4 linked regions of the Caenorhabditis elegans genome follow. The protein of the gene in region 3 purifies or fractionates together with the protein of the main gene of each other region. This does not show direct contact. Each region holds a gene or a part of one and is shown on either strand. Other genes may lie near its edges.

What was found.
Region 1: the proteins of ulp-3 (region 3) and inx-14 purify together in Caenorhabditis elegans (affinity purification with mass spectrometry, with the first as the bait; one large-scale study listed by BioGRID). This does not show direct contact.
Region 2: the proteins of ulp-3 (region 3) and gmps-1 purify together in Caenorhabditis elegans (affinity purification with mass spectrometry, with the first as the bait; one large-scale study listed by BioGRID). This does not show direct contact.
Region 4: the proteins of ulp-3 (region 3) and F42H10.6 purify together in Caenorhabditis elegans (affinity purification with mass spectrometry, with the first as the bait; one large-scale study listed by BioGRID). This does not show direct contact.

The regions. Positions count from the first base shown.
Region 1 is NC_003279.8:7,347,932-7,355,688, reverse strand, and holds inx-14 (Innexin-14), read left to right. Parts: upstream 1-3,506; 5' UTR 3,507-3,541; intron 3,542-3,602; 5' UTR 3,603-3,615; coding exon 3,616-3,802; intron 3,803-3,845; coding exon 3,846-4,055; intron 4,056-4,102; coding exon 4,103-4,386; intron 4,387-4,458; coding exon 4,459-4,710; intron 4,711-4,756; coding exon 4,757-5,038; intron 5,039-5,082; coding exon 5,083-5,134; intron 5,135-5,177; coding exon 5,178-5,215; 3' UTR 5,216-5,377; downstream 5,378-7,757. Other genes in the region: scav-6 (SCAVenger receptor (CD36 family) related), read right to left, coding at 4-151, 221-316, 362-431, 477-577, 645-795, 846-1,021, 1,070-1,195; spsp-1 (uncharacterized protein), read right to left, coding at 2,045-2,106, 2,153-2,329, 2,375-2,542, 2,592-3,081, 3,147-3,182; kbrl-1 (NF-kappa-B inhibitor-interacting Ras-like protein), read right to left, coding at 5,637-5,713, 5,813-6,236, 6,287-6,528, 7,182-7,260, 7,522-7,628. UniProt on the Caenorhabditis elegans protein: Structural component of the gap junctions.
Region 2 is NC_003280.10:10,862,049-10,873,219, reverse strand, and holds gmps-1 (putative GMP synthase [glutamine-hydrolyzing]), read left to right. Parts: upstream 1-4,505; 5' UTR 4,506-4,577; intron 4,578-4,777; 5' UTR 4,778-4,828; coding exon 4,829-4,882; intron 4,883-6,047; exon of another isoform or gene 6,048-6,104; intron 6,105-6,431; coding exon 6,432-6,492; intron 6,493-6,610; coding exon 6,611-7,129; intron 7,130-7,271; coding exon 7,272-7,631; intron 7,632-7,679; coding exon 7,680-8,269; intron 8,270-8,323; coding exon 8,324-8,872; intron 8,873-8,923; coding exon 8,924-9,028; 3' UTR 9,029-9,538; downstream 9,539-11,171. Other genes in the region: copz-1 (putative coatomer subunit zeta), read right to left, coding at 10-97, 156-227, 291-308; cyn-4 (Peptidyl-prolyl cis-trans isomerase 4), read left to right, coding at 614-692, 748-868, 915-1,701, 1,758-2,136, 2,186-2,391; cap-2 (F-actin-capping protein subunit beta), read right to left, coding at 2,805-2,906, 2,985-3,110, 3,156-3,260, 3,313-3,463, 3,516-3,629, 3,678-3,771, 3,821-3,938, 3,987-3,989.
Region 3 is NC_003282.8:1,960,561-1,967,380, reverse strand, and holds ulp-3 (Ubiquitin-like protease family profile domain-containing protein), read right to left. Parts: upstream 3,748-6,820; 5' UTR 3,718-3,747; coding exon 3,457-3,717; intron 3,044-3,456; coding exon 2,672-3,043; 3' UTR 2,657-2,671; downstream 1-2,656. Other genes in the region: shq-1 (Protein SHQ1 homolog), read right to left, coding at 945-1,344, 1,453-1,523, 1,758-1,900; tdpo-1 (putative tyrosyl-DNA phosphodiesterase), read right to left, coding at 4,258-4,440, 4,746-4,927, 5,287-5,738, 6,545-6,820.
Region 4 is NC_003281.10:8,476,006-8,482,857, forward strand, and holds F42H10.6 (Putative esterase F42H10.6), read right to left. Parts: upstream 3,447-6,852; 5' UTR 3,436-3,446; coding exon 3,391-3,435; intron 3,332-3,390; coding exon 3,248-3,331; intron 3,169-3,247; coding exon 3,094-3,168; intron 2,993-3,093; coding exon 2,883-2,992; intron 2,648-2,882; coding exon 2,452-2,647; 3' UTR 2,377-2,451; downstream 1-2,376. Other genes in the region: mig-39 (Zinc finger BED domain-containing protein 39), read left to right, coding at 1-416, 463-882, 1,459-1,749.

The sequences.
Region 1 (7,757 bases), on a different chromosome or scaffold from region 3:
CACCACTTCCACGAATACTTCTAGCCTTTGGAGTAGTCCACCATTCCCCAGGAAGTTCTGTAATTCCAGCCCATCGCTGAACATTTCCTATTTGGTTTATATCTTTCTTTCCCGTTTCAATCCAATATTCCTCATCTCTTGAGTTGTTATACTGAAGATATATTCTCAATTCGAAATATAGTTCCCGATCAGAAATTAGCTTTCAAAAGAATCTACAAACCCCTTGAAAATATCCAAATTTCGGCATAGCTGGAATCGGAATTGGAACGATACTTCCACCATCTCCTTTGAATATTCCTGATAAAACTGTCACGAACTAAAAATTAGATTTACAGCTACTTTTTTTAAGTTAAAAAGTTACCCCTGAATGAGCAGCGGACAGTAAAGCATCCTCGTAACCGTCAAACAGAACTTCACGAACTTTATGAGAACTGCAAACTTATTTTAAAATAAGTTAAATTCGGTGAAAAACTTACACAAATGGATATTCACCAAGAATTGTTAAAGCCACTGCAATAATTGTTCTTCCCGTTTTTGTGATTTGGAATTGTGGATCTAACATTGAAGCAACAGCCCCCTGAAAACAGACATGAAATCAAGTTGAGGCGCCACGTGCACTCGCCCGCTAATCTATCAAAACTCACCAATCCTGGTGGATTCGGAAAAACAATATTTCTGTCCCAGTCACAATCTTCACACGAATAATCTTTTGATAAAATATACTTTTTGTAATTTTGATAAAACATTTGTGATTTATCATCACTGAATTCCAGATATTTTTTCTGCTCACTTTCCCTTCAAATTCGGAATTTAATTAACATATCTATGAGGAAAATTCAACTTACATTACAGAAAATGGACCAATTTCTACCAAATTTGGTGCAGCAGAATAGTATTTCACTTCGTCTGGATTTGTAACATTAAAAAAGTAGAATTTCATTATATTATCCACTTGAGGACTTGTATATTGAAATGCAGAATATCCTAGACTGGTATCAGAATTTTCAGTTAGTTGTAGGTTCTGATATCATGCAAGTTTAGGAATTAACTTCACTTTTCACGGGAATACCTTTATGACCAGAGTACTGTAAATTGAAGAGAATGCCGCCCAAGTAACAATTCCAAACACAATAAACACAATTGCAATAACAACTAAGAATACATCTAGTTTATTTATCCGTATCCGAAAACCCATTTTCTGAAAAAAAAAAAGAAACATATAAACCAATTGAAATTATCAAAAATCGATTTAAAACAGAGTCAGAAAGCATGTAAATATGCTGTCTATATGGTTTACGTGGCTTATCAGACGAATTCTTTATTATCAGCAGCTAACTATATTGTCGTACATTGAAATGCCCTGGTTATCAATGGCAGAAAACACGTTAGATGCAGCTTCAGGTGAATGCTCAAAGAGTTTGCACTGATCGTATGGGTCGAACTATACTCCAGAGATTCGTGGAGATTTATTTTTTTTTTTAATGATTCATAAAAATTGATGGTTAAGAACCTATCGTAGCTACAATAGAAATTCTACACGGTCGAGGCGAAGAGTGGGCGTCAGGGGGAGTTTGTCAGTATAAACTTTAGATGTAGTAAAAATGTTTAAATGGTTAAACAAAACAGTTTGAAATTTGAAAATTGTTCTAACTATCAATCAAAGTTTTGAGTTGATTTCCCAATTTTACTGAACTATTAAAAGTGTACAAAATCTTCAGATGTTTTGAAAAACTGTTCACACCATTGAAATAATTTCGGACATTTCCTACTTGCTGTAATTCATTGTTATTTGTTTTAAAAAAATTAAAATTATAAGCTGTTACCTCTCTAAATTTGAAAACTTAGTTTTAAAATTATCAACTAGCTCTAGCGGTTCTATCGTTCATATTTTTAAAAGCGTCTTCAGGGCGAAAGGAATCGATTTTTTAGAACGTCAACGGCCAATGGGACCAAATAAAGAATTAATCTCAAATTACTTAAACATATTCAAATCATCATTTTATTCTCTAGAAAATCAATCAGGTGATATCATTACAGAGATCAATCATTTTTCAACACTATGTGCACGATCCTTCCACAAATCATTGTACTGGCGACCAGTGTCAACTGCAAAAAAAAATAGTTTTTTATTACAATGACTCAAAAATCGTACTCATGGCATCCGATACTGTCTCTCCAAGCTCACGAATCGATGAATCGACATCTCCGGATGAAGATTTTCTAGCTCTTTTCGAAAAAGAAGATCCCTCATCAGTGAAACGAACACTTTTCGAGTTAACGGAAGAAATAGATTCACGACGCAAAGGACGTTTTCGTGGGCTATTGATACCTTGAAATGAGTAAATGAGTTAAAGGTGATTCAAGATAAAACTACCTGGAGTATGCTTCTTCATCGGTGTTGGTGGTGGAACAGGTTTGAATCTTCCACGAAGATCTGGATGAGCATTCATCAGAGAGAGAGCAACAAATGGAATTCCGTCAACCAAAAGCTCAAAAGCTTCAAATTCTGGATCTTGTGCGTATTCAGCAACAAATCCACGAACTGAAATATGATCAATTATGTGAACTTTCAAAACAATCTCAGGGCTCACCTTGATTACGAGCAGCTGGATTCTTGATAATTGCAAACTTTTGAACTGGAGGAATATGCTCCTTCTTTGGTAAAGATTTTCTCGAAAGAGATCTTCTTTTTTTCATCGGAGATTTCTTCAGAATGCTTTTACGACTGGAACCTGGTGATTTGTTGGATCTATTGCGTCGACTCTCAATTTCAGCTTGCAAAAGTCTTCTTCTAGCACTTTGCGAAATCTTGTTACGGTTCCCAGAAGTGTTTCCAATTTTCGATCTTTTGCTTGAAATAGATCTTTCAGATCCTGTTCCCGAGAATCCAGACGACGAGCTACGAGGAAGCTTGCTTTTAATTCTTGGTCTTGATTTACTGGAACTAGTAGTTGAAAGGAACGAATCAAGACGAGAACGACGGCTTGATGATGGAGTAGTTCCAGTTGACACGAATGTAGAATCAGATTCTCCATCATAAGAACTACCAACTGAAGAGAGAAGTGATGAGAGAGTATCTGCCTGTAATATTTATAATTTTCAAAGTTGTTAGAAAGTTTCATGCCCGGACAGAAAAAACTACTTACCTCATTGTGGCTATTGTTCGAGTTAGACTTGGCCATCGATGGTTGTTGTCTATTGAATCGAAATATTCGAGCTTGCAAAAAGTTTTAGTTTCGAGTACTGATTTTCTTTTGTTTTTCGATTCGTTTTCCTCATCGATATTCCAAAAAGATAATTTCAAAGGCCAAGGTCACGAAAATATTATTTCTAAATAACTTTTTTTTCAAGTATTTGATTTTTATTCCAATTCGAGAACTCTGAAAGATTTTCCAGGCCTGAAAACTTTAGTAGCGCGCCGGACCTATAGCCGGATTAAAAACACGCGCCTTTAAATATATCAGGGTACGGTAGCCGGGAGTTTCTAATTTTGCGCACTTTACTCACCAGCAACTCATTTTTTCGAGGATTTTCGCCTATCGTAAGCATTATATTTGTTAGGTTTTAATAGTTTCAAATAATTAATTTTCTGTGTATTTCAGTTCTATTCGCAAAATGATTTGGGAGATCCCGATTATCGGCGATTTCATCACCAAACCGTTCAAAGCGGCGAAGCTCTACGAATTTTACGATCGACTTCACCTTTTCACAGTTTATCTTCTCGGATTCTTTGTTCTACTCACTGGTGCTAAACAACATTTCGGAAATCCAATCGATTGCATGCTCCCGAAGCAACATGATGGTTTCAATAGCGTTAATTTTCATAAATTAATCTCAATTTTCAGATCTGAAATCGTGGCGCGACTACATTCACAATTTCTGTCTTTTCTATGGAACTTTCCGATACGACGTGAGCAATGGAACGTCTGAATTTGGAAGTTACACTGAAGATGCATCTGTCAACTATTATCAATGGGTTCCTTTCTTCTTTGCATTTCAAGTATGCTGCTTTCTTCTTCCTTTCTGGTGCTGGGCATACATGCAAAAGCTTATTTGTACGAGTTATTCTTCTGTAGAGTAATATAAATTTTTAATCTTTCAGACATTGACATGGCTTTCATTGTGGATTACTCTGGAAAAATCAACAGCGAGAAAACGTTTGAAAAGACGAAGGAAAAAGTGGATCGAATTGTGAATTATATGCATGATCACTTCAAGTTCCGTCGTGCCCACAAAATGGGATATCTATCGTGGATCACATTTAACTCAGCTTTTCCCAGTGTCTTGTACAGTCTCACAAAGTTATTTTTCATAACTAATGTGATTATTCAAGTGAACTTGGTTTGCAAATTCTTGGACGTTGATTCGTGGACTTGGGGTTTTGATGTGAGTTGAGCAAGTTTTTGATATAAATTGAATGACACTGATAATAAAAGTATGTCTTTTTTCTATTTTCAGCTTCTCGGCAAATTCATTCACCCAACTCCACGTGCTCCCGAGTTCTCCTCGTTTTCCGACAAACAAAGATTCGCGGCAATTCTCACAGACGGCAGTTACAATCGTTTCCAGTACTTCCCAATTCTTGTGGGATGTGAATATCAGTTGCAAGAATCAGTTAGCAACTTTGTGAATCATAAAGCTCAATGCATTATTCCGATGAATGTGATTAACGAGAAAATTTTCATTGGGCTTTACTTTTGGCTTCTTGTGGTACGTTTTTTCTCCTATTGGCCACGATTTTCAAGAATATTTTCAGCTCACCGCGCTCTCGGTAATTGGAACTGTTAAGTGGATTCTTCGTATCAAAAGTAAGAAGCTCAACGAGGTGATGATCTACAAATTGATCAAAAAATCATTGGAACGAGAGCCATTCGACAGTAATATTCATGATCACCGCTACAACTTTGTTCACAAGTACCTGTGTGCCGACGGAATTCTTTTAATTTATTTCATGATGGATACGAATGGATTTTTGAAAACTGAAGAAGTCATCGGTGCTCTTTTCAAGAAATATTGCTCAGACGCTGGCCTTGAACCGGTTGGTTTTTGATAAATATTGTACTTATTCTAATATCCCACTAGTTGCAGACCGCTCCAACTCTCACTTCAAGTCCAAGAGATTTGGCTTATTCAGGTTAGTTTTTCAAATGTCTCCCTTATACATATATTTATTCCAGAAACCAATTACGGATTCGCTGCACCGCAGAAGATTTAAGTCTTTTCAACAGTACACCATAATTTCACAAAGTATTCTGTCTAACATGTTTATCTATTGTTTGCTCCCTCTTCTTTCTCAGGTAAAGTTATTATTATAACTGTTTTATTCATTCATTTTATTATTATCATATACAAAAAATGAACCTGCAACCTGATTTTGAAAAGTTTTTCTGTTTTGGTGAATAATGCACAAAAAGAAGCATAATTAGACGTACATAAGAAAAAGTTTGCTGACCGAGAATACTGATTAAATTATATTTTGGGTGCCTATAATGTGATGAAAAATTATGCAAAGAAAACCAAATAAGAAATGGGAGGATGAAGGCACAGAGAAGGAGCTTGATAATTATGGCCAGAGAAAAGTGAAATCACAGTTTTTGGTTATCACAAAGAATATTAGAAGAATAAGAAGTTTGGGGTCAAAAGTCCATCAAGATTGCTGGATTTGAAGATTTTTCTGATTTCAGCTTCTTTGAGAGCGAGAATTTCGATTCTTCTGAAAAAGAAACGATAATTTTTTTAATCTTTCAAAAATAAAAAAAACAGTTATAGCTTTTTGGGTAGATTGCAAAGTAAAGTATTTTTCAAAACTTACTGGTTGGATGGAAATGTCGATGTCCTACATAATGAATGAAATCGACTAGGCTCTGCCGGTCCTTTGCAGTAACCTCGAATAGTTTAACTTTTTCTCGTGCAGCCCAACTATGTGCAAAAGCACTGTCAACTGTCGCCGGTCGATCTCGCATATTGGCAAGGACTACGATTGGAACTTCTTTCTTATCTTTTCCAAATTGTCTGTCTATCCATTTTTTCAGCAAATCAACTCTGTTAAACGATTCGTAATCAGCAGATGAATACACAAGAACAAATGCGTCTGCAGCTTGTACATATGCCTTCTTCAGTTCAATCGGTCCGTAATTTGAAACTCCTGCCGTATCGTGCAATATAAGAATCTCTCGAGCTTTGTCCGGTTCTTCCAAAAGAACTTGATATGTGTCTTCGATCGTTGGTTCATATGGCTGAAAATTAGAAATTTAGAAACCGAAATAATTATTTTTAATCTTCGAACCTTATTCGTAACATCCTCAACACATGCGACTTGCCGCAGAATAGCTGTCTTTCCGACTTTTTTTCCTCCAACTACAACCACCCGCATTGCTCTCCCCATTCGCCGGCTTCTAGCCGGTTTGATTGAATCGCTTCGGAAGGTTCGAACACCTTTTTCTTCCGATCGTTCCACAAATAATGGACGCTCCAAGTCAGGATCAGCGACTGTACGGTAACGGCCTTGATGATTCAGATAATCTTTTTCTGAAAGTTTCTTGTTAATCATTTAATGAATTTTTGGTAGATTGATGCCTATTATGTTTTGAATTTTAAAAATCTGTAAAGTATGGCAGAAACATAGATTAATTCATTTTTCAGGAAATATTTTTTTAAAAAAGCACCATTTTCTTCATCAATACTCATATCTCTTCTCCAATTCACATTGGTTTCCAAGTCGAGAGCAGCCATTGATTGTGATATCGGAGCAGCCGCTTTCAGATATTTTTTGGGTTTGTTTTTGAATTTCATAGAAACCGTGTTTCTTAGTTTAGAGTCGGACATGACTTGATCCAAAAACAATAAGAATAGCTAGGGAAAAGAATGATAATATGGTAAGAAAAATGCTTGAAACTAAGTGGTGCATAGAGGGAGGAGTGCACATGCCATAAAAAAGTGATAAGAGTTAAGCACAGAGGACGCTGTTTGATTTAGACGATGACGTGGCACTGTTTAGGTCATAAAGTGGCAAATGGGGAAAATTAAGAGACTTTCTCATTTTTTTTTGGATAGAAAAATCTGTCTTTTTTCAGTTAGTGGTTCTCACTGTAATGAAGTTTTCTCTTAATTTTTAGATTTTATCTTGCACTTTTGTCTTTTTAGTTTTTGAAATAAAACTGGGCGAAATTCTAATAACCTACCAACACAAAGTGAAGTTTTTCTATCTGCTTTGGCGGCGTCAAAGAAGGTCGCGGCTAACGAGAATCGACGATTTGTGGCCTGCAAATTTAATTAAATTTCAACGATTCCAAAATTGAAATACTATAATTTTTGTCTTTATATTGAAAATCACCTTTTTGTGCAAATTTCGATGCATTTTAGACAATCGCGGAGGGGATTGATTTTACAAGAAATAAGGAAAATGTTTCTTTTTTTTCCAAAAACTTGATTCCCATCCTCTTTATAGCCGATATTTATTTACAAAAGGACCAGGATTCAATATAATATTCTTTCTGCTGACTCATATTCCTATGTTCTCACCTTTTGAGGGACGTCTAGAGATGGAGTCGATGTGGCGTCGATTCGTGAAAGTGCTCGCGGAGTTACTCCGAGTGAAAACTTCCGAGAACTCGGACGGATCCAATTCTCTGAAAACATTTTATGATGATTTCGAAAATATTTTTTTTTTTGCTTCGAAACGTTTTTGTTTCAAATTTAATCGCCTCGGATAAAAGGGATTAGTGGATTTCTATTCTATTTTGATCGGATAACTTTAG
Region 2 (11,171 bases), on a different chromosome or scaffold from region 3:
CAGCCAAACCTGAAGTGTTGCGGGAAGTTTTCGAGAAGAGACTTTTCTCGAAAGCTTTTTGCTCCTTGACAGTTCCAAAGGTTGTACGGTCGTAGTACTGAAAATCGATATTTTTTCGAGTTTTTTGTATGGTAATTGTGAAATAAACGACAAACCTTGGCAAGAACACGGTTTCCATCCTGATCAAGAATCACAATTCCTTTGATACTGTACAGAGAAGTTGGATTCTGAAATTTCGCTTTTTAGTTAAAAAAAAAAAACTTCAATAATAAGCTGCAAATGAAACTTACAGTGTCAAAGTCTGCCATCTTATTGCAAATCCTCTCTTTTGCTAATATTACCTATAAAATTAAAAATTTATCTCTGAAAAACAATTTAAATGGAGGAAAAACATTGAGAAACAAGATAATCCACGTCAATAGTCAATGAAATTGAGCGCGTAAATCGACATGTGATCGTGGCGAGACCCGAGGTGGCTGGCGGCCGCCGGCCTAGGTTTTCGTGTAGATTTACGAGCCGATTTGTTTTCGCAATTTTTAACAATCGGCATTTTAATTAAGCTTAATAACTACATAAATGTAACTAGTATTTATTTGTATTATTTTCAGATAAAATGGGAAAAAAGCAACATCAGAAAGATAAACTCTATCTGACCACTTCTGAATGGAAATCGATTGGAGGACATAAAGATGGTTTTTATTTAAACACGAGTTATAAATAAAAACAAGATTTAATTTCATATTTCAGATACTGGAACAAGACTCCAAAGAGCACAGTTCAAAAGGTTACCCATCAACCATTGCTCGCTGTCACTTCTACCGTTTGAAGACCCAGTTTGCGCAAGATCAGGAGAAATTTTCGATTTAACGTAAATTTCTGTTTATTTTTTTTACTTTTTATTAAAAAATTTTCAGTGCTATCGTTCCTTACTTGAAGAAGCATGGCAAAAACCCGTGTACAGGAAAACCGTTGGTTGCCAAGGATCTAATCCACTTGAAATTCGATAAAGGAGAAGATGGAAAGTTCCGATGCCCAGTTACATTCAGAACATTCACGGACCACAGTCATATTCTGGCCATCGCTACTTCCGGAAACGTCTATTCTCATGAAGCCGTGCAAGAATTGAATTTAAAAAGAAATCATCTCAAGGATCTTCTAACCGATGTTCCGTTCACAAGAGCTGATATAATTGATCTTCAAGACCCAAATCATTTGGAAAAATTCAATATGGAGCAGTTTCTACACGTGAAGCTTGATTTAAAGACGTCAGAAGAGATTAAAAAAGAAAAAGATGCAATGAAAGATCCAAAATTCTACATTCGACGAATGAATAATGCTTGCAAATCAGTTCTTGATCAATTGGATAAGGAATATGTCCCAAAGAAGAGCTCCACAGAAACTGATGAAACTGCCGATGAGATCAATGCAGCACATTATAGTCAAGGAAAAGTCGCAGCTGGATTCACATCCACTGTAATGGCTCCAGTTACAAGCAATAAAGCAGCTGTTTTGGATAATGATACAGTTCGGTACAGCCGAGTTAAGAAAAATGCTTTTGTGCGGCTTGTTACAAATTTTGGGCCATTGAATCTGGAATTATTCGCGCCGAAAGTTCCGAAGGCCTGTGAAAACTTCATCACACATTGTTCGAATGGATATTATAATAACACCAAATTTCATCGGTTAATTAAAAACTTTATGGTAAATTTATTATAAAAATAGTTAAAGTTATAACAAAAAATAATTAAAAATTTCAGCTGCAAGGAGGCGACCCAACTGGTACAGGACATGGTGGAGAATCAATTTGGGATAAGCCATTCTCAGATGAATTCATCTCCGGTTTCTCCCATGATGCTCGAGGTGTGCTCTCGATGGCTAATAAGGGCTCTAACACCAACGGATCACAATTCTTCATTACATTCCGGCCGTGCAAGTATTTGGACAGAAAGCACACAATTTTTGGGAGACTTGTTGGAGGACAGGATACACTAACGACGATTGAAAAGTTGGAAACTGAAGAGGGAACTGATGTTCCGATGGTTTCAGTTGTTATTATGAGAGCTGAAGTATTTGTGGATCCATTTGAAGAAGCTGAGAAAGAAGTTCAAGCTGAGAGAGCAGAGATTTTGAAGAAAAGTTTCTTAATTCTATTACTAATTTTAAAACTAATGATATCTATTTTCAGCTTCTAAGGACGCAGCTTCATTAGCAAATAAAAAAGCTAAAGAAACTGCAACAAAACCAGAAGCAGTTGGAACTGGAGTCGGCAAGTACATGAAGTCGGCCGCAGCTGTGAATAAACGACAAGGAAAAATGGAAGATGTACCCTTGGAGGCCGCAAAGAAAACTAAATTTGCAAGAGCAGGCCTTGGAGATTTCTCAAAGTGGTGATGAAGACCCTCTCTTTTTTTTTAAATTTAAGGAATAAAATACTTTCATCGAAAATATAATTGAAATGAAAAGTAATCTTAAAGAGGATAATTTACATTGCAAAATACAAAACAGTCGAACGAGCACCTAGAACGAAAATGGTCCAGGAAAAGCTCAAGCTCTTCTCGGAAGGAACATCAAGGCATTTTGGTAATAAATTGTGGAAAAGCCATAGCACATACACTTTGGAGCGAGGAGAAATTGTGGGAAAAGAGATTTTAATAATTCTAGAAAAAAAGTTTACACTCGAGAAAAGGCAATGAAAAAAGGTTTTAAAAGAAGAAACAAGCTGGTATTATGGTAGATAAATATACAAAACTCGCAAATAAAGCATTAAAATGAGAGATTTTGAGCTGCAAATGTAGATAGATCACTCAGTTTCCGCGGTTAGCCATGGCGTTGTTCAACTCGCGAACGATCTCATCTTGCTTCTCGAGCTCACTCTGCTTCTCTGTTGAACGGAGATCCGACATCACCTGGAAAATATTTTTTTCGAAAATTGTACTTTTTAAAAATGAAACTTTTTTCATATAATAAATTTGCATTTTGCTTACCTTCTTCGTCTTTCCAAAGTATATCTCATTGATCGTCAGACGCATTTTCGACTCCTGATCCTCAATCATTCGTCCCATATTAGCCAAGTGTGTGTTCTGATCGTTGATTGGTGCATCCATCTCATGCTATAATATTTCTTTTTAAATATATTCACAACTCGAAACCAAAACCTGTCTTGTAAGGGAGCCACCGAGGTTCATCACACCGCTGGAGCTTTTGTTTGTCTGCAGCCACAGCATGATAGTGGAGGTGAGCTTGTAGTGAGCCTGGCGTGCCTGGAAAATTATAAATTAAAAAAAAAAACTCTTCAACAGTTTTTGAACCAACTCTTTCCGTGATCTCAATAACGTGAATAGAATCCCAACATCCTGTTATATTTTTGGCTCCGTCTCCCTCTTTCTTGATGAGCACAATTCCGGCGAAACCTCCATTATCCAAGTCCCAGAAGTAAACTGATGAGACGCCTCCCTCGAAGTATCTGGAAATTATTATTATTTATGAGCAAATATATGATTTTTCTGTCAACTTACAAATCACGGTATGACTCAAAAGCGGCATTTGCCTCGATTTCCATTTTTCTGCGCTTTTCCGATGGCAATTGTCCATCCTCGAGTGGTGGATCATAGGTATTACTCCATGGTGATCTGAATTATCAGAAAAAATCGATAGATTTCAAATAAAATGACTCATACCTGTAGCTATCGCCATCTCGATTGTAGTCACAAAGCAAATACTGTTTGCCGGTCTCACGGTCCGCGGCGATTTTCAGCGGTTGATCGATAGTGCCTAAAACCATCAAGCGAATTTTTTTAAATTAGTTAAAAAGGAAACATACTGAGAAGATCATCAACAAGATGAGGGCACAGATCGATGAGGTCCGTCAAATTCTTGTCGCAGTGTTGTGGAGGAAGTCTTCGCATCAAGTCGAGGGCACAATCGAGCTGTTGTTCTCCCTGGTAAATATTTATTATAAATTGTTTTTAAAATATTTATTAAAATACCATTTTTGATAGTTTCGAGCCGGATGTGGGTGTGCTCCCTGAAACAATAAACTTTTATGTCAGATTTTAAGTCGTTACAACCTATTAAAAACATAAAAAGACTCTAAACGATTGGGTAATGATTTTTTAGTTCACAAATAAGATTAAATTTCGCAAAAATATATTTTAAAAGCCATTAGAAAGCAGGAAAGTTGCGAAACGGAGCGACCACTTCATTGATTTTACACTCCGTTTCTCTCACTCTCTCGTCCCTCCACCGTACCCATAGTCACTCTCGTCGGCAAATCGCGGCGAGACCCGCGAGCTTTTGGCGTTTCGCCAGAGTTCTTCAAATTTTTGTTTTTTTCTTCGAGCTTTTAAATTTAAGTTTTTTCCGTCAATTTTTATGTTAATAAACCGAAAAAATTAATTTTAAATTAATTGACATGAAATTTTCATCGCAAGTTTATCCGTGTTCTGTACATTCTCATCGCTTCATCTCCGAGAAAACACCGAATCCACTAAATTTTGTTATTTCAGTAATTGCAGCCAAAACGAGTCAAAATTGGAGCGCGTCAGAGTAAACGTCACTGCCGCAACCTTCCATCTGAAGTGAGTATTTAAATGTGAAAATTTTGAAAAACTGGGTGAAAATTCGCGCACATTTCTGTAAATTGGCTCCCGATTTGGTTTTCAACGTTAAAAAACGAAAAAAAGCATTTTCAACGTTTAAACGTGCGTTTTAAGGAGGTTTTCATTATAAATTGCCAAAAAATTCCACTTTCCATTGACTTCAAATCATTATAACCTAGCTTCAGCGTGCAAAAAGAACAAAGGCCGTCTCGAAAGTCAGTGAGCATACTATGAAAAGATCGAGTTCAATGTTGGACATCAACGAGGACAGTCAACATTCCACGGTCAGAACTTGTACTTTTCTTTTGATCTTGCCGCTTTGCTAATGGATTTCTTTTTTGAATTTTCGTTGAATTTAATTATTTTATCGCTGCAAAGGGCTTTTACAATTTTCCCTGAAATCGTCACTATAAAAGAAAAGAAATAATTGCAATTTTATTGCATTCTCCGCAACTACATTCTGTTTTTTCCGACTCCAAATAGTTCAAAGTTCTCTAGAATCACAATATCTTCCTCTGAAGACAAAAGATCAGTTGTCACTAAAGCCACATGCCGACTTTTCTGTTCAAGGGGGGTTCCACCATATGTTTCGGCGCTCAAATTACATGTTTTTTCGCGAAAAAAAGCTAATTTTCCTGTAACCTGAAGGGTTTTCTTTTTAAATAAATAAAAATGTTCACGTTAATCCAGTGATATATCGAAACTAGGTGACCTAATTGACGTGGAGTTCAGATTATACCGGCTTTTCTAGAACTTTCTATCTGATTTTCAGGATTACTGCGCCGTTTCTTGATAGTTTTCGTCTAAAAACCGAGTATATTTTAATATTTGTTGGCAGTTTTTGTCTTATTTATCACAATTTTCAGTGAGAATTCCTTGGTTTTTCTCATGGGATAAGCGTTTTTCACTGGAAAATATATTTTCTTGGTAGAAAATTCTCCTCGACGAAATCGTAGTTATATTCTCCCAGCCGAACACTAAAATGCTGGAAAACTAGGAAACTAGGGTCTAGTTGAAAAATTTTGCAATTTTTCCAAGTACAGCAGCACTTTTTTAAAATATTATCTTTAATATGATTTTCCACCATTTCTCTCTCTCTCTCTCCTGACTTTTATCTTTTTCGTCATTATTTCTTTTTCTCTGTTACAGCACTGGTTCTGCTCTCTCCTTTCCTCTTGTCGTCATTCAAAAGGTTCCCTTTGGTTTTGTTTCTCTCTTTTTTTTTCAATCTCTACGTCTCACCACTCTCTCGCTCTCTCTCACATTGTTTGATTTTGATTTCAGTTTCTGTGCTGAGAGAACTTTTCAACTATCTCTTCTTTGTTTTTTGCTGTCATCTTCTTCCTACTCTTGAAGCCGCCCGATGCTCGGTTTTGAGCCACTCAAAGCATTGAGGAATACTGTTTTTATGAAATTATCACCTTTTATTGCATATTTTGGTTGATTTAGGCACATTTTAAGTCGGTAGGCGTCCAATTTTGATGCCTATCTACTTAAAATGTGCCTAAATCAATGAATTAATTAGAGATAAATGACCAAAAGATGCAATTCAGGATAATAATTTAGGAGAAGTTGGAGTAATTTTAGATTTTAGCAATGTTTGGCTACTTTTTTCGGACTTTTCAGGCCAGTTTTAGTCAAAAAGCTGCTCTTTCCAACTTATTTTGCACTCTATGCCCTGCGTCTCTCACTATCTCCTAACAGTTCAGCCATTTTCACTCTCATTTCATCTGCCTTGGCAGCTGCATGTCAGCAGGCTCCACGTTTAACAAGCTCTCAAATTTTGCTCTAAAAAGCCGAAAATACATACCATACAGAATTATAATATTTCAGAACAAAGCTCCACCACCGAAGAAGGCGCCAGAAGATCGATTTGATAGTGCCAATATGAACGGTAAGTAGATAATTTCAATGAAAATGTGATTTTAGAATAAAATAACTTTTTTTTTGTATTAGATTTTTGTATTCACTCACATTTTCATAATTAAGACAAAAACTAATATGTTGAAAAGCTTCAGGAAGTCACGTCACCCTTGTCGAGAATCTTCCAGTTGAGAAGGTTTCAAGTGGCGAACGCATTGCCATCCTCGACTTTGGAGCACAATATGGAAAAGTTATTGATCGACGTGTTCGCGAGCTTCTCGTACAATCAGAGATGTTTCCACTCAACACGACAGCTCGTACACTCATCGAGCTTGGCGGATTCAAGGGAATCATCATTTCTGGTGGTCCCAACTCGGTATTCGAACCAGAAGCCCCGTCAATCGATCCAGAAATCTTCACTTGTGGATTGCCAGTTCTTGGAATTTGTTACGGATTTCAGTTGATGAATAAGCTCAATGGAGGAACTGTAACAAGAGAGCATATCAGAGAAGACGGAGCATGTGAAATTCAAGTCGATACGAGCGTTCATTTGTTCAATGGACTTCACAAAACAGAAACTGTCTTGCTAACTCACGGAGACAGTGTATCAGAGGCTACGGTGGCTCCAGACTTCAAAGTTATGGCCAAAAGTGGCCATCATGTTGCTGGTGAGTTTATTGAAAATTTTATTCACATTTTTTTAAAACAAAAAAAAACAAAATTAAATAATAATTTTCTGATTTTAATATTTACCAATGCTTCTAACCCCTCATCAAATATTCGTACTTTCATCTCAAAACCTTTTTGCAGGAATTTGTAACGAGAACCGCAAGCTGTACGGTGTCCAGTTTCATCCAGAAGTAGATCTCACTACCAACGGCACGAAAATGTTCGAGAATTTCCTTTTCAAAGTTGTCGGATGCTGTGGAAATTTCACTATTCAAAACCGTGAGCAATCGTGTATTTCGGAGATCAATAGCATTGTCGGTGACAAGAAGGTACTCGTAATGGTGTCTGGAGGTGTCGACTCGGCTGTTTGTGCTGCGTTGCTCCGTCGTGCTCTTGGACCAAATCGGGTCACAGCAATTCATATTGACAATGGATTCATGCGTCATGAGGAGAGTGATGCTGTTGAGAAGAGTCTTGCGGCGCTTGATCTTCCGATTCACAGTGAGTTTAAAAAAATTTTTTTAATTCAAAAAAAAAAATTAATTTCAGGGTATAACTTCGGCACAACGTTCCGTTCCAGTACAGAACACTGCAAGGATGGAGAAGTTGCGTTGGATGAGTGTGATGATCCGGAGATGAAGAGAAAAATCATTGGAAATACATTTATTCGCGTAAAAGATGTGATTATGAAGGACTTGAATATCAATCATGATGAATATTTCCTTGCACAAGGAACTCTCCGTCCAGATTTAATTGAAAGTGCAAGTGCTCTTGCTTCGGGACACGCGGACACTATCAAAACTCATCACAATGACACATTTTTGGTGCGAGAACTGAGAAAACTCGGAAAAGTTGTGGAGCCGCTGAAAGATTTCCACAAAGATGAAGTCAGAGAGCTTGGAAAAGATCTTGGGTTGCCTGAAAGTATTGTGCAGAGACATCCATTCCCAGGACCTGGTCTTGCGATTCGCATTCTTTGTGCATCAGATAAGAGGCCGGAGTTGATGTTCAACGGTCCGATGTATAATGGAGATGTGCAAGGAAGAATTATCGATGTTACTGAGCAGTTTTTAAATTCTGCAATTAATCCAAGTCAAGGAATTTATGAACACCTGCAGTTCGAGCAGGCACGGAACAATGTGAGTTGTCACTATTGAAAACTATATCCAGAGTCTATTATTTCTGTTTTTCAGGTTCTACTATCACTGTCTGAAAGAGATCGCCAACTCGCCGAGCAACAAACCTTCCAAATCAGTGCTCACATTCTTCCAATCAAAACAGTCGGTGTTCAAGGAGATGCCAGATCCTATTCGTATGCAGTTGCACTGTCCACCGAGCAACGACCAATTCCATGGAAACTCCTGTTCGCGTATGCTTCAGTCATCCCGAAGCTGTTCCACGGAGTCAATCGAGTCGTCTACGCATTTGGATCAAAAATCGAGTTTTCGATCGAGGACCTGACGAGAACATATCTTGTACCACACATTGTCACTAAACTTCAAATGGCGGATCACATCGCCAATAATATTCTATTCGGACGTGTCGCTGCTTCGGATGGTACGCAGCTGCCAAATGTTGGGCACAAAATTCAACAGATGCCAGTCGTCCTTCTGCCTGTTGATTTTGATCGTGATAGAGATATGATTGGATCATACAGGCACTCGATTGTTCTTCGTCCGTTTGTCACATCGGACTTTATGACTGGTCAGGCTGCGATTCCAGGAGTTCACTTACCGGAAGAGGTTAGTTTTCGACAAACATTTGTTTTTTTTTCTAATCAATTTATATTTCAGACTCTTATTGAAATGGACAAGGCCATCAGAACCAATGTTCTTGGTATCTCTCGTGTTCTTCTGGACATGACCTGTAAGCCACCGGGCACCACCGAATGGGAATAAGCTTTTTCGGACTAAATCGTCATCACTGGCCTTTCTCTTATCATTTTATGGACTGATCTTCATCCGATGCGAAATAATAATTTTCTCAGGTGTCTTTATCATTTCCGCTTCCCTCCATTGTTCTCTTCCCAGTTTTACAGTTCAATTCTTTCTCTATTAGTTTTTATATCATTTTCATCTCTTAAAAGAAAGGTTTTTCAGGTAATTGTTAAATAGATTATTGTTGTATCATGTTGATTTTGATTCTTCGTTTTTTCTCATCCCGGGTGCACTTTTCCAACGTCCTCTGTTCCCTCCCCAATTTTTTTGCTCCGATTTTATGTGTTTTAAAGCGTTAAACGTCAGTTCCCAGTGCCGAGTTTTCAAAAGGTGTCCATCGGTTTTTTTTTTAAATTTTTTATCTAGTGCTCAACGATACCGATGAACATTTCCGAGCTTGGCGTGAATCCCGATAGATTTGATTGATATTCACGGTGCTGCTTTTCTTCTAAATATAAATGGTTCTTGTTGATTTGTTTTTTTGTTTGGAGAAACGACACAATATCATTAGGGCAAAGAAAATTGTCATAATAAGAGCAACAATCTTTGTATCTGGACCTTGTAAAAATATTTTAATTCTGAACTTATGCTTTTACAAGTAAAGTCAAATCTTTTCCAGCAATTTATCAATTTTTCGCGAAAAATAACTTTAAAAAATTACAGTAATCTCTCTTCTTCAATTAAAGGCGCATACCTTTAATTTGAAAATTGTATGAATCGTGCCGAGACCTTTGACCACACGTTGTGCACGATCCTTTAAATTTTAAATTTTTGCACAGGTTTCTGACCGATTTTCGTTCTGTTTTCGGCTTCTTTGTATTTTTTTATTGAAATTTTTCATTTATTTAGGTGAAATAGGTAAATACCAATAAATTTCCATTTTACTTTCTCCCGCCAAACTGAAATTATCAGCGAAAATTCAATTTTTTCCTCTCTTGTCTCTAAGGACATCTGAAGCTAGTCTTCCTTCTGCCAGCATTAGCACCGCGCCCTTCTCTTTCTCTAATCCTCTCCGAATTTCCACTCTCTCTCCGTCTATTCCTCGCCCCCAGCAGCCATTTTCATCATTTTCAGCTCCCAAGGTGACCCTTCCTTGTTGTTTTTTTTTTCGACTGACGCGGTTTATATTTCTGAATTTCTTCTGTCATCTCTCTTCGTCTCACTCGTTTTTTTTTGATTTCACTTTGGAAATGTTGATCGAAATGAGAGAGAGAGAAAGCGTGTTGGAAGGAGAGAGAGAGTGTGTATAGGAGACAAAGAGAGTCCCAGAACCCATCGGTGGTTCCCCCAACTATCCGTCTCGATCAATTACTCCCAGAGAGAGAGACCATGTTTCAAAATGTTTTTGCAACACTTTTTTGTTGAGAAGTGCACATTTTATCACAGCACAGGTTCTCAGTTATCACTTCTTTAGACTAAATTAATTTTTGTAAATTAGTTCCGTGTAAAAAAAATTAAAGAAATTTCGTAGCAAATCGGCTAATTCGAAAAAAAAGTAAATTAAAGAATTATTTTTATTATTTTTAAAAAACCCCTCCAATTCCACATGGTGACTATAATTTTATAATTTTCCTTCTTCTCTACTATAAAATAATTAATAACTAGAAACAAATAGCCTGGCTCAAAAAATGTTGCCTTCAAGTTGTGATCTTTGCATTTTCGAACGGATGTCAGTCGTCTCGGTAATAAACAAGAGACGCAGACATTGGACACACACGCGCCCGTTACAATTGACAAGATGAATTTCATAAGGAACCTTATTCCCCCTTAGTTTTTTTACTCCCGAGACACATTTTCATCAATCTGATTTGCTCTCGAGTACTTTTGATCTATAGTCAAGATATTGTTTGGCGCCGTCTCTCACGAACCAGCCAAACTGGTTTTCGCAGAATTTGAAACGAGAGCGCCGATTGCATTGATGCTGCTGCTGAAAAACCAGAGGAAGGTCATTTGAAACATTTGAAGCGACGGTGTTCACCGTTCCGTTTGCCGGCCTTTACCCAGAGAAATTATCGAAAATTGCCTCGTGCTGTTTCTTGAGTCATCTAATTCTCTTCTCGTATAATAGAATATTCTCGAAGTAAATTAAAAATTCTATTTAATT
Region 3 (6,820 bases):
TATTTTTTAGCCAAAAATTCAAATTTAGCGCTGACTAAATGTTGCAAGCGCGCCCTATTAAGAAATTTGCCGATTTTCGTTATTTTATGGCCAAAAATTCAAATTTCGCGCCGTTCAGATGTTGCAAGCGTGCCCTATTGAGAAATTAGTTAGTTTTTGTTATTTTATAGCCAAAAATTCAAATTTAGCGCTGACTAAATGTTGCAAGCGCGCCCTATTGAGAAATTTGCCGATTTTCGTTATTTTATGGCCAAAAATTCAAATTTCGCGCCGTTCAGATGTTGCAAGCGTGCCCTATTGAGAAATTAGTTAGTTTTTGTTATTTTATAGCCAAAAATTCAAATTTAGCGCTGACTAAATGTTGCAAGCGCGCCCTATTGAGAAATTTGCCGATTTTCGTTATTTTATGGCCAAAAATTCAAATTTCGCGCCGTTCAGATGTTGCAAGCGTGCCCTATTGAGAAATTAGTTAGTTTTTGTTATTTTATAGCCAAAAATTCAAATTTAGCGCTGACTAAATGTTGCAAGCGCGCCCTATTGAGAAATTTGCCGATTTTCGTTATTTTATGGCCAAAAACTCAAATTTCGCGCCGTTCAGATGTTGCAAGCGTGCCCTATTGAGAAATTAGTTAGTTTTTGTTATTTTATAGCCAAAAATTCAAATTTAGCGCTGACTAAATGTTGCAAGCGCGCCCTATTGAGAAATTTGCCGATTTTCGTTATTTTATGGCCAAAAATTCAAATTTCGCGCCGTTCGGATGTTGCAAGCGCGCGCTATTGAGAAATTTGCGAGTTTTCGAGATTTCAAATTTAAAAAATGAACAATTTTGCGTTGCAACTGTGCTCTACTGACACAAAAATGTCGGAAAATTTTATTTTTTCACGCATTTACTCAATGGAGCGCAATTTCTGAGTGATTTTTGGCGGGAAATTCGATTTCTTACAAATATCTGCCTTCATCAAAGTTTTCCCAATCGAATTCCATCAATTTGTCGGCTCTTTTCTCAATTTCCACATTTTCGGGCTCCAAAATATCCACAATTTTGCCGATTTCATCTCTGAGCCTCTCAATAACTCCAAACTTGCTCCAACCGAAACCATAGCCGAATTTTTCGATTTTTCCATCACTTTTCGGCTCTTCGGGCTCTGCTGCTGGCTGCTGTTCCACTAGAAATTCCGAGCCATCACCTTCATCATCGTCTTCAGAATCGTCCATTTCCTCGACAAGTTGATTTCCGTGTGGTTGGTGGTGTGTTGTACTAGGCGTTAGCAGCTCCGTAATCATGTCCAAATTCGAGAAATGCTCTTTTTTGTGCATTTTCGGGACTTTTATGTGAAATTCGCCTGAAAATTCGAATTTCGCGCCGATGCAAATGCACTCCATTGAGAAATTAGGATTTTACGGCATTTTTTGCGTATTTCTCAACGGAGCGCGTTTGCGTCGTGCCGTACCTTCGTCGGATTTCCACTCGACGCTTCCATTTCCGCTACCGTACTCCTCGACCATTTGTTTAAAGTGTAATCTGCAAAAAAACACACACATTTTTGTCAGTGGAGCGCGTTTGCAGGCTGGAAATTCGCGAAATTTGGAGAATTTCTCAATAGAGCATGCATGCAGCATGCGATCGGCGCGATGATTTGAATTTTTGGCTGTGAAATCACGAAAATCGGTACTTTTCTCAGTAGGGCGCGTTTGCTGCACAGCATGCGATCAGCGGGGGGAATTTGAATTTTTCAGTAAAAAAAACCGTTTTTACCTCAAAAAATAAGGCGGACACGTGAACACGAACATATAATCGCCGTGATCATAGTCCAGCTCGGCGATATTTCCGTGCGGAGCACGAATACGGATGAGCAGCGCGTCGTCGTCTTGAGTGATCCAGAATACAGGTGTGAGCATCTGAAAAATCCGGAAAATTTCGCGGAAAATCGATAATCGGGCCGAAAATGTCGGGGAAATCGATTTTTTTTTGGTGAAAATCGATAATTTTCAAAAATGCCGAAATTTTCAGAAAAATCGATACGGTAAATATCCGATTTCAATGAAAAAATCGATAAATTGGCTGGAACATAAAAATTGAATTTTTCTTTGAAAATCGATGCTTTAAAGAAATTTTCGGAAAAAATCGATAATTTTCCCGGAAATTTTTGAAAAATCGATTTTTTCCGAAATTTTCTGAAAAATCACCGATTTTTTTTCGAAATTTCGTGGAAATTTTCTGATGATGCGTCCATAGTCTGCGGAAAACGGGAAATTCCCGCGTGCGGAAGCGTCCATAGTCTGCGGAAAAAAACAAGGAGTTTCTCGCTTTGTTATTGGTCAATTTCAAAATAGTGGGCGTGTTCAACCAATTAGAGGCTGTAAAATTTTAAGCTGAGCAATGGGAAAACAAGAAACAACAGCTGATTGGTTGGCCACGCCTACTTTTTTGAATTTTGAGGAAAAAAAAGCGAGGAACTCCGGTTTTTCCGCAGACTATGGACGCTTCCGCACGCGGGAAATTCCCGTTTTCCGCAGACTATGGACGCACCATGAACAATGATTGTTTTCGAAAAATCAATTTTTTCAAAAACTGAATTATCGATTTTTCGGTAAATGAAAAATATTAGAAAAAGGTCACAAAAACCTTCAAACCCATCGGAAAAAAAAATCAAAATCAATAAAAAACATTTATTTCGCTTCAAAATTAACAATCAAATCCCGCCAAAAACCGCGTGTTTTATCGATTTTCTCCAATTTTCCAATCGCGTCCGCCGATTTTTGCTCGGCGAGCACCGCCAGGTACTGTGCCACGTGGAGTCCACAATCGGATGCATTTTTCTGCTGAAGACATAGCTCCGGCTCCAAATTCCGCTGGCTTTGGCGTTGTCGGACGAGTTTTCGCGATTTTTGCATCAAATTTTCGGCAATTTTCAAGTTATGGCCGCGCGCGCTGTCGAAGTGACGGAATTTATCGATTTTTCGGTCGAAAATCAATAGGGACCAGTGACTGCCACCATTGACCCGTGTCACATCTTGATTATCGTTTACGATGAAGGCGATCTGCAAAAAAAAACGATTGTTATCATTGGGGCGCGATTGCAGCATTCAAAAATTCGAATTTCGCGTGTAGAATGTGCGCTCTAATGAGAAAATTGCGAAATATAGTCAAATTGTATGTTTTTTTGCAATTTGGGCTCAAATTTTCAATTTTTACGTTGAAATTTAAAAATTCCGCTCTGACCGCATGTAGAAAACGCGCTCTATTGAGAATTTCACAGAAAAATTGAAATTTCGGGATTTCTGCAAGACAATTGGGTTAAATTTAGCAATTTTTTTTCGAAATGTCACATTTTACATCGAAAAACAAAAAAAAATAATGGAATTTTCACGATTTTCACCCGAAATTTTTAAATTTAGCGGCACTGCAAGTGCGCCCCAATGATAATTCTTTTGAATTTCGTGATTTTCCGTACCAAATCCTTCGAGTTCACGTCTAGACATCCGAAATACATGTCAACTTCCTCGTCACACGTCGAATGCCGTATCATTTCGGTTTGCGGGGGCGTGAAAATTTGAATTTCCGCCGCCGCCGAATTGTGTTGCTCTAAAAATTCTGCGCAAAACGTGAGAAGTTTATCGTTGAACCAGCAGCCCGTGTGCTCCAAAATAGTGACGTCATCGGCGGTAAGGACGACCGATTCGTAGGATAGGCGGAAATCCGGGGGAACTGACATTATTCAGGGCGGCGGGAATTTGAAAAATCTGAAAAAAAAACACGTTGAAAGTGCGCTCCATTGAGAAATTCAAAAATTTTCGTGATTTTTTGAAGAAAGCTTTCAAATTTTGTTTAGATCAAAAGTTACAAGTACGCTCTACCGAAAAAATTGCGAAAATTATCGAAAATCAATAAATTTCGTGACAATGTCAGTGGAGCGCGATTGCACGCCAATAAGAATTTTTAATTTGAAAATTTGCGCGTTACAAGTGCGCTCCATTGAGAAAATTCCCAATTTTTATGATGTAAGTGCGCCTAAATTTCGTGGTGTTCTCAATGTAGCGCGGTTGCAGCTCGCTCGCCGCGAATTTAAAATTTGAGTATAATAATAGGAAAAAGGGGATTTTTGACCTTTTAAACCGGAAAGAATTGAACAAAAATTAGAAAAAAGCGAGATTTTATTGTAAAGCGTTAGAAATTAATGAAATTCACAGGAAAATGAGATTATCAATTCAAAAAAACAAGCAATTTTTCACAGAAAATGAGCCCAAAATCAGGGTTAAGGCGGTGTCCAGATACATCCCAAAATGTCGGGCTTCTCGTGTTTTTTGTCGGTCACAAATGGCTCATCGGTGGCCGAATACGGTACCAGTGGGTAGTCGAATGGAATATTGAAACGGCTTGGATCAGTGATAAGAACACCCATTTCCCATGAGCGGATCATTAGTTGCTCTACGTTTTTCTGCAAAAATAGAGGATTTTGGAATTTTTGGGCCTAAAAATTACAAAATTTGATGAGAAAATCAGATTTTCTAATTAAAAATTTCGCAATTCCCTCAAAATTGTTTGAAAATCTATAATATCGTCGAATTTCTATGGCAAAACGTAAATTCTCAAAATTTTTTAAATGAAAATTTAAATTTCAGGCGCGTTGCAAACGCGCTCTAATGAGAAAATCACGATTTATGGTTAAATCGGGCTAATTTTCATGAATTTTGAAGCTTTTTCTGAATTTTTCATTCCGAAATGTGCAAAAAATCGCAATACCGATTTATTGAACGACACTTCTCCCCACGCGGCTTTCGATAAATTGGCACTGGTCAGCAATTGCCAAATCGCCACTTTCTTGTCATATTTCACATAGGTCTTGCAGTGGGGCACTGCGTTCGTCCTTCGTTTCGCATTGGAGCGCCATTTGCACATGTTGCCTTGCAGCCATTTTTGACGAGCTGAAAATTTTGAATTTTTGCGAAAAATTTGAAGTTTTAGGGGGAAAAATGAAAATTTGGGCAGAGGTTCCCCCTACGCGTGACTAAATGTGAACTACTGATAGTCGCAGGTGTTAAGTATGTTATTTAGATAAGGAAATAACATAATTAACACTTAGATTATCACTAGAACACATTTGCCACCAAGTTTTTTAAAATTAAAATTATGTTTCTAAATTTGATTTTTTTAGACTAACAAAATATCGACCCATTGTTAGTTGTAAAATTAGTTAAAAATAGCATTTCCGATGAAAAAAAAAACCATTTTTCAACTAATTTCTCCAGAATTCTTCATTTTCCCAGCAGAAAAATCCCCCTACCATGCACACTATTGCGATACGGCACAGAACATCCACCCGCATAACCCTGACAACTCGTCCGAACATCCTCAACACTCGGAAACACTAAATACATTTTCGCGGGCTTTTGCTTCGGCGACGGATTTGCTCCTTCGAGGCTCTGCAGAAATTGCCCGCGAAACCAGTTGATTGGAGCAGATCCTAGTGAGCCAATTGAGCTGCATTGAGCCACAAATGTGCATCGTTCCGTGTGCTCGTAACTCGCATCAAATGGAAACTTTTCCGAAAGAATACGGAAAAGGCGTGGGTGTCCCGGACGTTGCGTGGGCGGATCGGTGTGATAACCGGGCGTTGAGAAGATGAGACGGTCGGAGATTTGAGAAAAATCAACTTTTTGGAGAAGCTGTTTCCATGTGTCCAGTTGGTTACGGTACATGCTCAGGTACTCGAGAAGGTCATCTTGGAAGTCGGATCTGGAAAAAATCACAGGTTTTTGAGTTGAAAATAAAAATTTGGCCAGAGGTTCCCCTTATACGTGACTAAATGTGAACTACTAATAGTCATAGGTTACTAAGCATGTTATTTAGATATGGAAATAACATATTTAACACCTAGATTATCATTAGAGCACACTTGCCACAAGAAAATTGAATGGTTGTTTTGAATGGTTTCAGTTAAATCTGGCATAATTGTTATGATTTATTTTTTTTTGTTGAAATTAGTCTAACAGTTTACATGATTTTTTTCCGGCAAATCGGAAAATTGCCGAAAATTAAAATTTCCGGTAAGCCGGCAATTTGCCGGAATTTCGAATTTCCGGCCAATCGACAATCCGGCAAATTCCCAAAAATGAAAATTTCCGGCAAAATGGCAAACCGGCAATTTGCCGGAATCGGGAATTTCCAGCAAATCGACAAACCGGCAACTTATCGGAATTGAAAATTTCCGACAAATTGGAAACCGGCAATTTGCCGAAAATCAAAATTTCCGGCAAACCGGCATTTTGCCGGAATCGGAAATTTCCAGCAAATCGACAAACCGGCACATTGCCGGAATCTAAAATTTCCGGCCAATAGGCAATTCGCCGAAAATCAAAGTTTCCGGCGAACCGGCACTTTGCCGGATTTGCCGAACGGCAGTTTTTATGTTTTTTTTAAGGAAAAACTGATTTTTTTCCAAGAAAAATCAGGAAAAACTCAAATTTGCATACTTCCATGTTTTGAAAGGGTAAAACATGGTAAAACGCCCATTAAAATCTCAATTTTTCGAAAATATTCACCTTGGCACCGTGCCAGACGCAATTTTAACTCCAAAATTATAATAAAACTGCTGCGTCTTGAATTCCCAGTCATCTGGTACCAAATTTGCCGTCGAAACGATCACATGGAACCGCCCGTCCTCGTCTTCCAGAATCGACATTTTCGTGTGATGGGTCCCGAACGGAATTGGCAGCGACGCGCCGACTACTGTAACCAGCTTCTGGTTTTTTGTGCATTTTAAGAGATCTGGAGCATCGGGGGCTCCGACTACAAGAGTTATCGGGTACTCGCGGAGT
Region 4 (6,852 bases), on a different chromosome or scaffold from region 3:
CCGAGCTTCCAAAACAAATGGATTCTTTCTCATCTCGTCTTGCTAATTGTTTTAAATCTTGGCTTGAAACATCTCCAACAGTTGAAGTTTTGAAGAAAAATGTATACGCGATGCTTGTGTCCTACCTGACAGTTCCAGCAGCTATTCAACTTGCAAGTCAAATGCTAAAGGCAAAGTTTGAGGTGCCACTCACTGAACCATTCCATGTGATTGTTGAGCATTTGGTAGCTCATCGGGATATTTATCAAATGAATATGGAAGGAATCACTTTGATTTCTGAACGTGAATGGAATAAAGTGACTGGAATCCATCATCTTATGAATATCTTCAAACCATTTATGACATATTCAACAGATATGACAACCGTTGATACTGTTATTCCAACAATTGTACAAATTCAAAATGTTTTGGAAAAGGTTTTGTTTGAAACTAGTAATAAAATCATTTTAATACATTTTGCAGGATATCTATCACTTGGGAGACATCGGATCTGATCTTCTAACTTCTTTGAAACAAACTGTCGCACCAATCATGAATCCTGAACACGAGAACTTTGATTCCACGTACATCCAAGCCACTGCTCTGAATCCTCAATTGGCTGTTACACTAACTTCTGATCAAATGACAACTGCGAAATCTCTCATTGAAACTGAAATTTCGAGGCGAACCAAGAAGATGAGAAAAGCTCAAAGTGATAAGAAATTGGCAATGGGTGTGGATTCACTATTGGCAAATGTTATGAGGAAAAATGATGGAGGATCTGATGGAGGATGTGAGACAGCATTGGCAATTTATGGAGATTTATTTCAGTCGATAACTGGAAACAGTTCTGAATCAAAGGAAAATATTGTGAATCAGTATTTTGATGAGATTTCTAGCACCGTAAGTTTTACTTTTCACTAATTTCATAGATATCATATTTTTCCAAATTGCACCCCGTTGTTTAACTTTGACAGCTTATATCTCAGTTGTTGCGTGTTCTATTCCAAAATTGTCAGCTAACAAAATAATTATTATTTAGTTATTTTTCTATTGTATTTTAGTTAATAATTTATTGATATCTTCAAAATGAACCGAGATATAATCTTTCGAAATAAAGTAATGAGGTGCAATACTACGGTAATTGACTAGTATGAAGAAGAATTATCAGTCGACTGAGTTTCTAGAAAAGTACAAGTTGTTTCAAAACTTAAAACAAATAAATTTAATTTTAAATAAACTTCTTTCCAACTCTTTACGTGACAATACGATATCTAGAAGATTAAATTTTAAACTGTCATGTTATCCTAGCACTATGCGATAATTGCTCTCTACCTAAAATCCGCTAAAAGAGTGGGATAATCTAGAAGATCATACGAGGGTGGTTGAAAATGAAAATGAAAGTAGTTTGTGCTAGCTGAAATCTGGAATTTTCTATTTTTATGTCTATGAAAAACAAATCAAAAATCAAAATTTCAGACTTCTGTGGAAAGCATGTTCATGCTTCGAACATTCGGCAATCCAATGCAAGCTCCACTCTCTTATTGGAAATCTTGCTCATCACGATGCTCGGAGCTCTCGGATCTTGCCACTGAACTTTTATCCATTCCAATCTTCACTCTTACCGCTGAACGCGTTTTAAGCTTTTCACCGGATTCGAGCTCTTTAAACACAAATTTGATTCTTACAAATTTAGACTCTACCGATCAGTTTGAGAAGCAAGTTTTACTCCGTTTCAATCGTCAGATTGTTTCGAAACTTTTTAATTAGATATTCAGTTTTTACATACTTTTCTGTCAGATAATACAGTATTTTCTCCTACTACGAGTCGTTTTATTCATTTTTAGCAGCTTCTTCCAACCCAACTCTCCTAGTCTCTTCTTTTCCCAGAACTTTCTATTTCTCAATGCCATTCATGCTCGTTGTTTCAAAACATTCACAAATTCCTGAAATTAATTGCTTTAAGACAAATTTGAATATTTCTTGCCCGCATACTCGGCAATCTCGCTCTATTGATGAGGTTTCGTAGAGCGTGTATACGTATGCATAATAATTCGAAATCTACATTATTTAAGACGCATTTCTAAATATAATTTATTATTGTATTTATTGATTTCCATCCAAAAAAATTAAACGGTGAATATTTTCTCTCTGTCCCATCTCTCGTTCCTTCAAATAAGAAACTCTTGAGCAAAACCAATGTGCAATTTTTAAACTTTTAAACTTCTTTCATTATTTTCTCCATTCCATGTCCGCTTTTCCTTGCACCAAGCATGTGATATTCCTTTTTTATTCTCGGCCCCCCAAATTCTCTACATTGTATTTTATTATTGTTCTCCCCCATTTTTTCTCGATATTTGCGTTTTCGGTGGCTTCTCACATTCTCCAAAAAAGTTTCAATAAAATATTTTTTATATCACAAATCGAACCCAAAAGAAACAATTATTATGCAAAAAGAAAGAACAAACATAATTAAAACTGCGTGCCATTTTCCACAGAAATTCCAGGCTGATTTGGAAGGAATGCTAGAGTATGTTTTCCCTTTGCCGACATTTTTCCATCCGATTTCCGCCGGAATTCACAATCGGTAAATGCCATTGTTCGTCCGACTTTCAATACGTGTGCAGTGATTTCCAGAACGTCTCCAACTTTGACTGGTAGAAGGTAGCTGAAAAAAGATTTTTTTAGAAAACAAACCACTTCTTTTGTTTCTTAAATATACCTAATTCAATTTTTGTGAGAAATTCAAAGAAACAATTGAAATATTTTGAATAGTTTTGAAATGGTGTGATGGCTCCACTTTTTTTTTTTTGATAGATGATGTCATTTTCAATTTACGCGAAAAAACATCAGACTTTACAATCTGATTTTTAAAATCATACTATTGTTAGAGCAAAGTTTACCTAACAGCCAGTTCAACAGAAGCCATTCCTTTATCTTTTACTGTGACTCCAACTGCCCGAGCGGTGATAACATCTGTCAGGGTAGCAGTTTGACCGCCGTGAAGTGTTCCCTGAAAAATTGCGATAATTTTTCGGAATATTCATTTTTCTTTAAATTTAATTTTACTGGTATTTTAAACAAGTTTTCATGAAATTTTAGGACTAAACGCACTTTTGAGTTCAAGTGTTGATGCTGCACCACCATTTCACATACCAGCTTGCTCTTCGTGACCTCCACCGGATAAACCTGAAATTATATTTTGAATTAATATATTTTGAATGAAAAAAAATTCCTAATCTTAAACTATTATCAAAAAAAAACTGACATCTTCAGCCACTCGATTGAAATTTGTGGAACCTTTCATTTTGTTGAAAACTCGAACTTGCTCCGCGAGCAGCTCTTCGCTTGTCTGAAATCTATTTTCAAATTAAATTATGTATCTTTTTTATTAATAAATATGTAACATACCGGTTCAATTACAGCGTCAGTAGAAGACTCGGAGTGGCCAACCATTTTTCAGGTGAGAAAATCTGCAAAATGACGAATTAATTTATATTATCAGGAGATTGTTATCAGTTTATCAGTGAAAGGAGCATTTCCGCATATTTGAAGAAAAGAAAACGTTTCAAAGTAAAAAGTACGAAGTATACTGGAATCGCAGCCCTCACAGCCGGAGCGGAATGATGAAATTAATTCACAAAAAAGAAACAAAAATGTTTGCGGTAGAGCGCATTTCAACAAGTTGTAGATGAAAATTTTGTGCATGTGCCTTTAAGTCTACAGTAACTCTACACATTTTTTAAACGGTCGAGAAAGCGCAAAAAACATAAAAACGTGTCAAGTTGAGGGGATATGTCAAGGTTATTCTCTAAAGACAATCCTCATCCGAAGAACAATCTGACCCGCAACGGGAAAAAAAGATGGCTACGAGAGATATCAGACACAGACACAACGACAACACGTGGAGTCAAAAAGTCCCATTTCGTTTTGATCTTCGAAAAATGCGGGAAAAGAGACGCATACATCTCTTCTCGTTTCGCATGGTTAAGAGCGTGCTGACGTCACAATTTTTCTGGAAAAATATTCCCGCATTTTTCGTAGATCAAACCGCAATGAGAACAGCCTGACACCACGTGCGACAAGGGTTTTAGGACATTGGCATTGCAAATAGTTTCTTCTTTATCTTAAACAAACAAAAAAATCAAAATATTTTCCAATTTGTGTTGGTTTTCATTCAAAGATTTGTATTTCTTCAAGCCACAGATAATAATTGTATTTTGTCAACATAAATGTGCCTTCTCATGCGGAAAGAATGTGGAGGGCGGATATTGAAATAGATTCGAATTGAACTGAACATGTTTTTCTCTATCCTTTTTCCTCTTTTTTCCTAGTCAAAGTTATTTTGTGCCTGTTAAATGTATAACATTGTATATCCGTAAAAACTCTTTTACCTGTAATGCACGATTTCTTGGTAATACAGTATACCTTACCAACTGACCAATGTTCTTTAAAATATAATTAGCATTGTTTTAAGTGTGAATCTCAGTGACTCATTTCATTTGCTCACACTGCACGTCAGCTGTCGTACTCGTTGCTCTTCTTTCCGGAAAATGAAATCGAAAAGGACACTATTTTTGCTCTTTTTACGTTTCAACTAACCCGCTTTTCTTTTGTCACTTTACTTTATTGGCAAATTATTGGCTTTCAAAAAACCGAGGTCTCGACACGACCCAATGTTTTAAAACGATTCTGTACCACCAATGAAGTGCGCATTGAAATAATGCTGTAGTTTTGAAATTCTTCGGAATCTCTCGTTTTTTTCACATTTTCTTCCACATTTCGCATAAGTAAAAACTACTGTACTTTTTGAATGCGCACACTCATTTTTGCGACCTCCTTTATAAATACAATTTTTGGTCGTCTCGAGACCAAATACCGTATTCTTTTGCAAAAAAAACGGAAATCTTCAGGTCTATAACAGTTGTGCCCACGAAAAATTTTCGAAGCATTTTTTCCAACTGATTGGTGGAGAATAATTTCAGAAAGTAAGCATAATTTTGTTTATAAACTTTTTTTTCGAAAAGACTACGTCTTCAATCTAGGCAACCCCTTCAAACTCAAAAGATGGAAAAAGGAAAAAATCCTTCAATTCAACTGAAAATCATTCGACTTTCAAAAGAAAAAAGTGTATTGGATATCTAGTGTTTATCTCAGTTTTTGCCCCGGACATTCCAGTAACAACAATACGGACATTAGTTCCGCCGCTCCGAATCATCATCATCATCATCACAATGGGAGTGTGAAACGGAACCTCCGGAGTCTACAAAGTCGTCTTCTTTGCCTGCTTCTTCTTTCTCTTCTCAATTTTCTTAGTTCTTCACTCCTCAGTATTACATTCTTTGCAGTGTTTACCAGTACGTTGTGGGTGGAGACGGGTATCACATTTCATTCAATCATAATTTCAATGTGTCCCTTTATTTCATCAAACAATCTCTTGTAGAATTACTATATATCCTGTTCACTACAAAATTGTCGCAATCAAAAATTTTTATGTGAGATATGAGAATTTAAAAATTAAAACTTCGAAACGTTATATTTCGGTTCATTTGAACGATACCGATGAACAATTAATTACAAAAATATTTTAAAAAAGTTGAAAAAATGTCTTCAATTGACAAGTTTTTCTTAAAACAAAAATATTATCCTAAATAATCTTGAGCTGACAAAATGTTCCGTTAAAATTGGAATCTTTTCAGGCAATTTAACTGGTGCACAATAGAATGAAACGGAAAGTACTTCCAGTCTGTTTTTAGAAAAAATATCTAAATTTCTCTATTACATTTCTAATTATCTAAAACTTTGTCCCAGTGTCCAGCAGATAATCCATCCTGGATTTTATTCCCTTTCCTCTCCATCTCACCAGCTTCTTCTTCTTGTGTTACAACGAGGAGTGACCAACAGAAGAGAATGGAAGACAACCTGCCCTCTTCCTTCATCTTCTACTGCCCCCGCAATCCTCTCTGTTTGTTTCTCAAGAAATTCTCACAATTCTTTAGCTGCTTGGACGTGATGAGGATAAATCAAATCTTCCGGTTCTCAATATTAATTTATTCCAATCAACATCACTTTTTAGAAATTCGATTCTCTCGCGTCTTTTTGAAGCCACAAAGTCGGATTTCCATTATAGAGGTGATCCGAAACCAAACGACTATTTTCAATAGGGTTTCACGTGCCTGCCTACTACCTGCCTACTGTCTCCTCAACATCTCGCTTTAATTAATTGAAAGATTCACCTGCCAAGGGTGCAGCATTGATTTTTTACAAAAACCGTAAGGAGAAACCCCTGAAAATTGTACAACCAAATACAAAACTTTCCAATTTTTCGGATTTCTAAAAATACCGAAAAACCGTAAGATTTGTGATAATAACTCCCGATACATTTTTTACATTCCTACGTTCCGCCTGCCTGCCTGCCGGCCTGCCTGCCTGCCTTCTGCCAATTTTCTGTTATTTTCTGAAACTGCTTGTTCCCATTTCAAACAATATATTTGTTTAAGTTTCTATCAAGGATTGCAAAAAACCAAAATCATGTGTTCTTGGGTAAATATGTCTCTTTTCTGGTGCCTAAGCCTGCGGTTTATTCAAATTGCCTAGAAAAATTTACAAACAATTTTAAACAAAACTTACAAAAGTTTTTCAACGTCGTTTTTTGCACATTTTTCGAATTCCGTTCAGCTTCAATACATTTTTTTTCCAAATTGGGTTTCAATATAAAAAAAAAACGTTTGAAATTTCATACAAAATGATGATGCATCATCAACATGTTGTATGCACGGCTTCTTCCAAGTGTTCACTTTTCACTTTACACCGCTTCCCCATCTTCTCTTCGCCGCCGGCTCCGAGGATGCGACCCGTATCTTTCTTATGTGG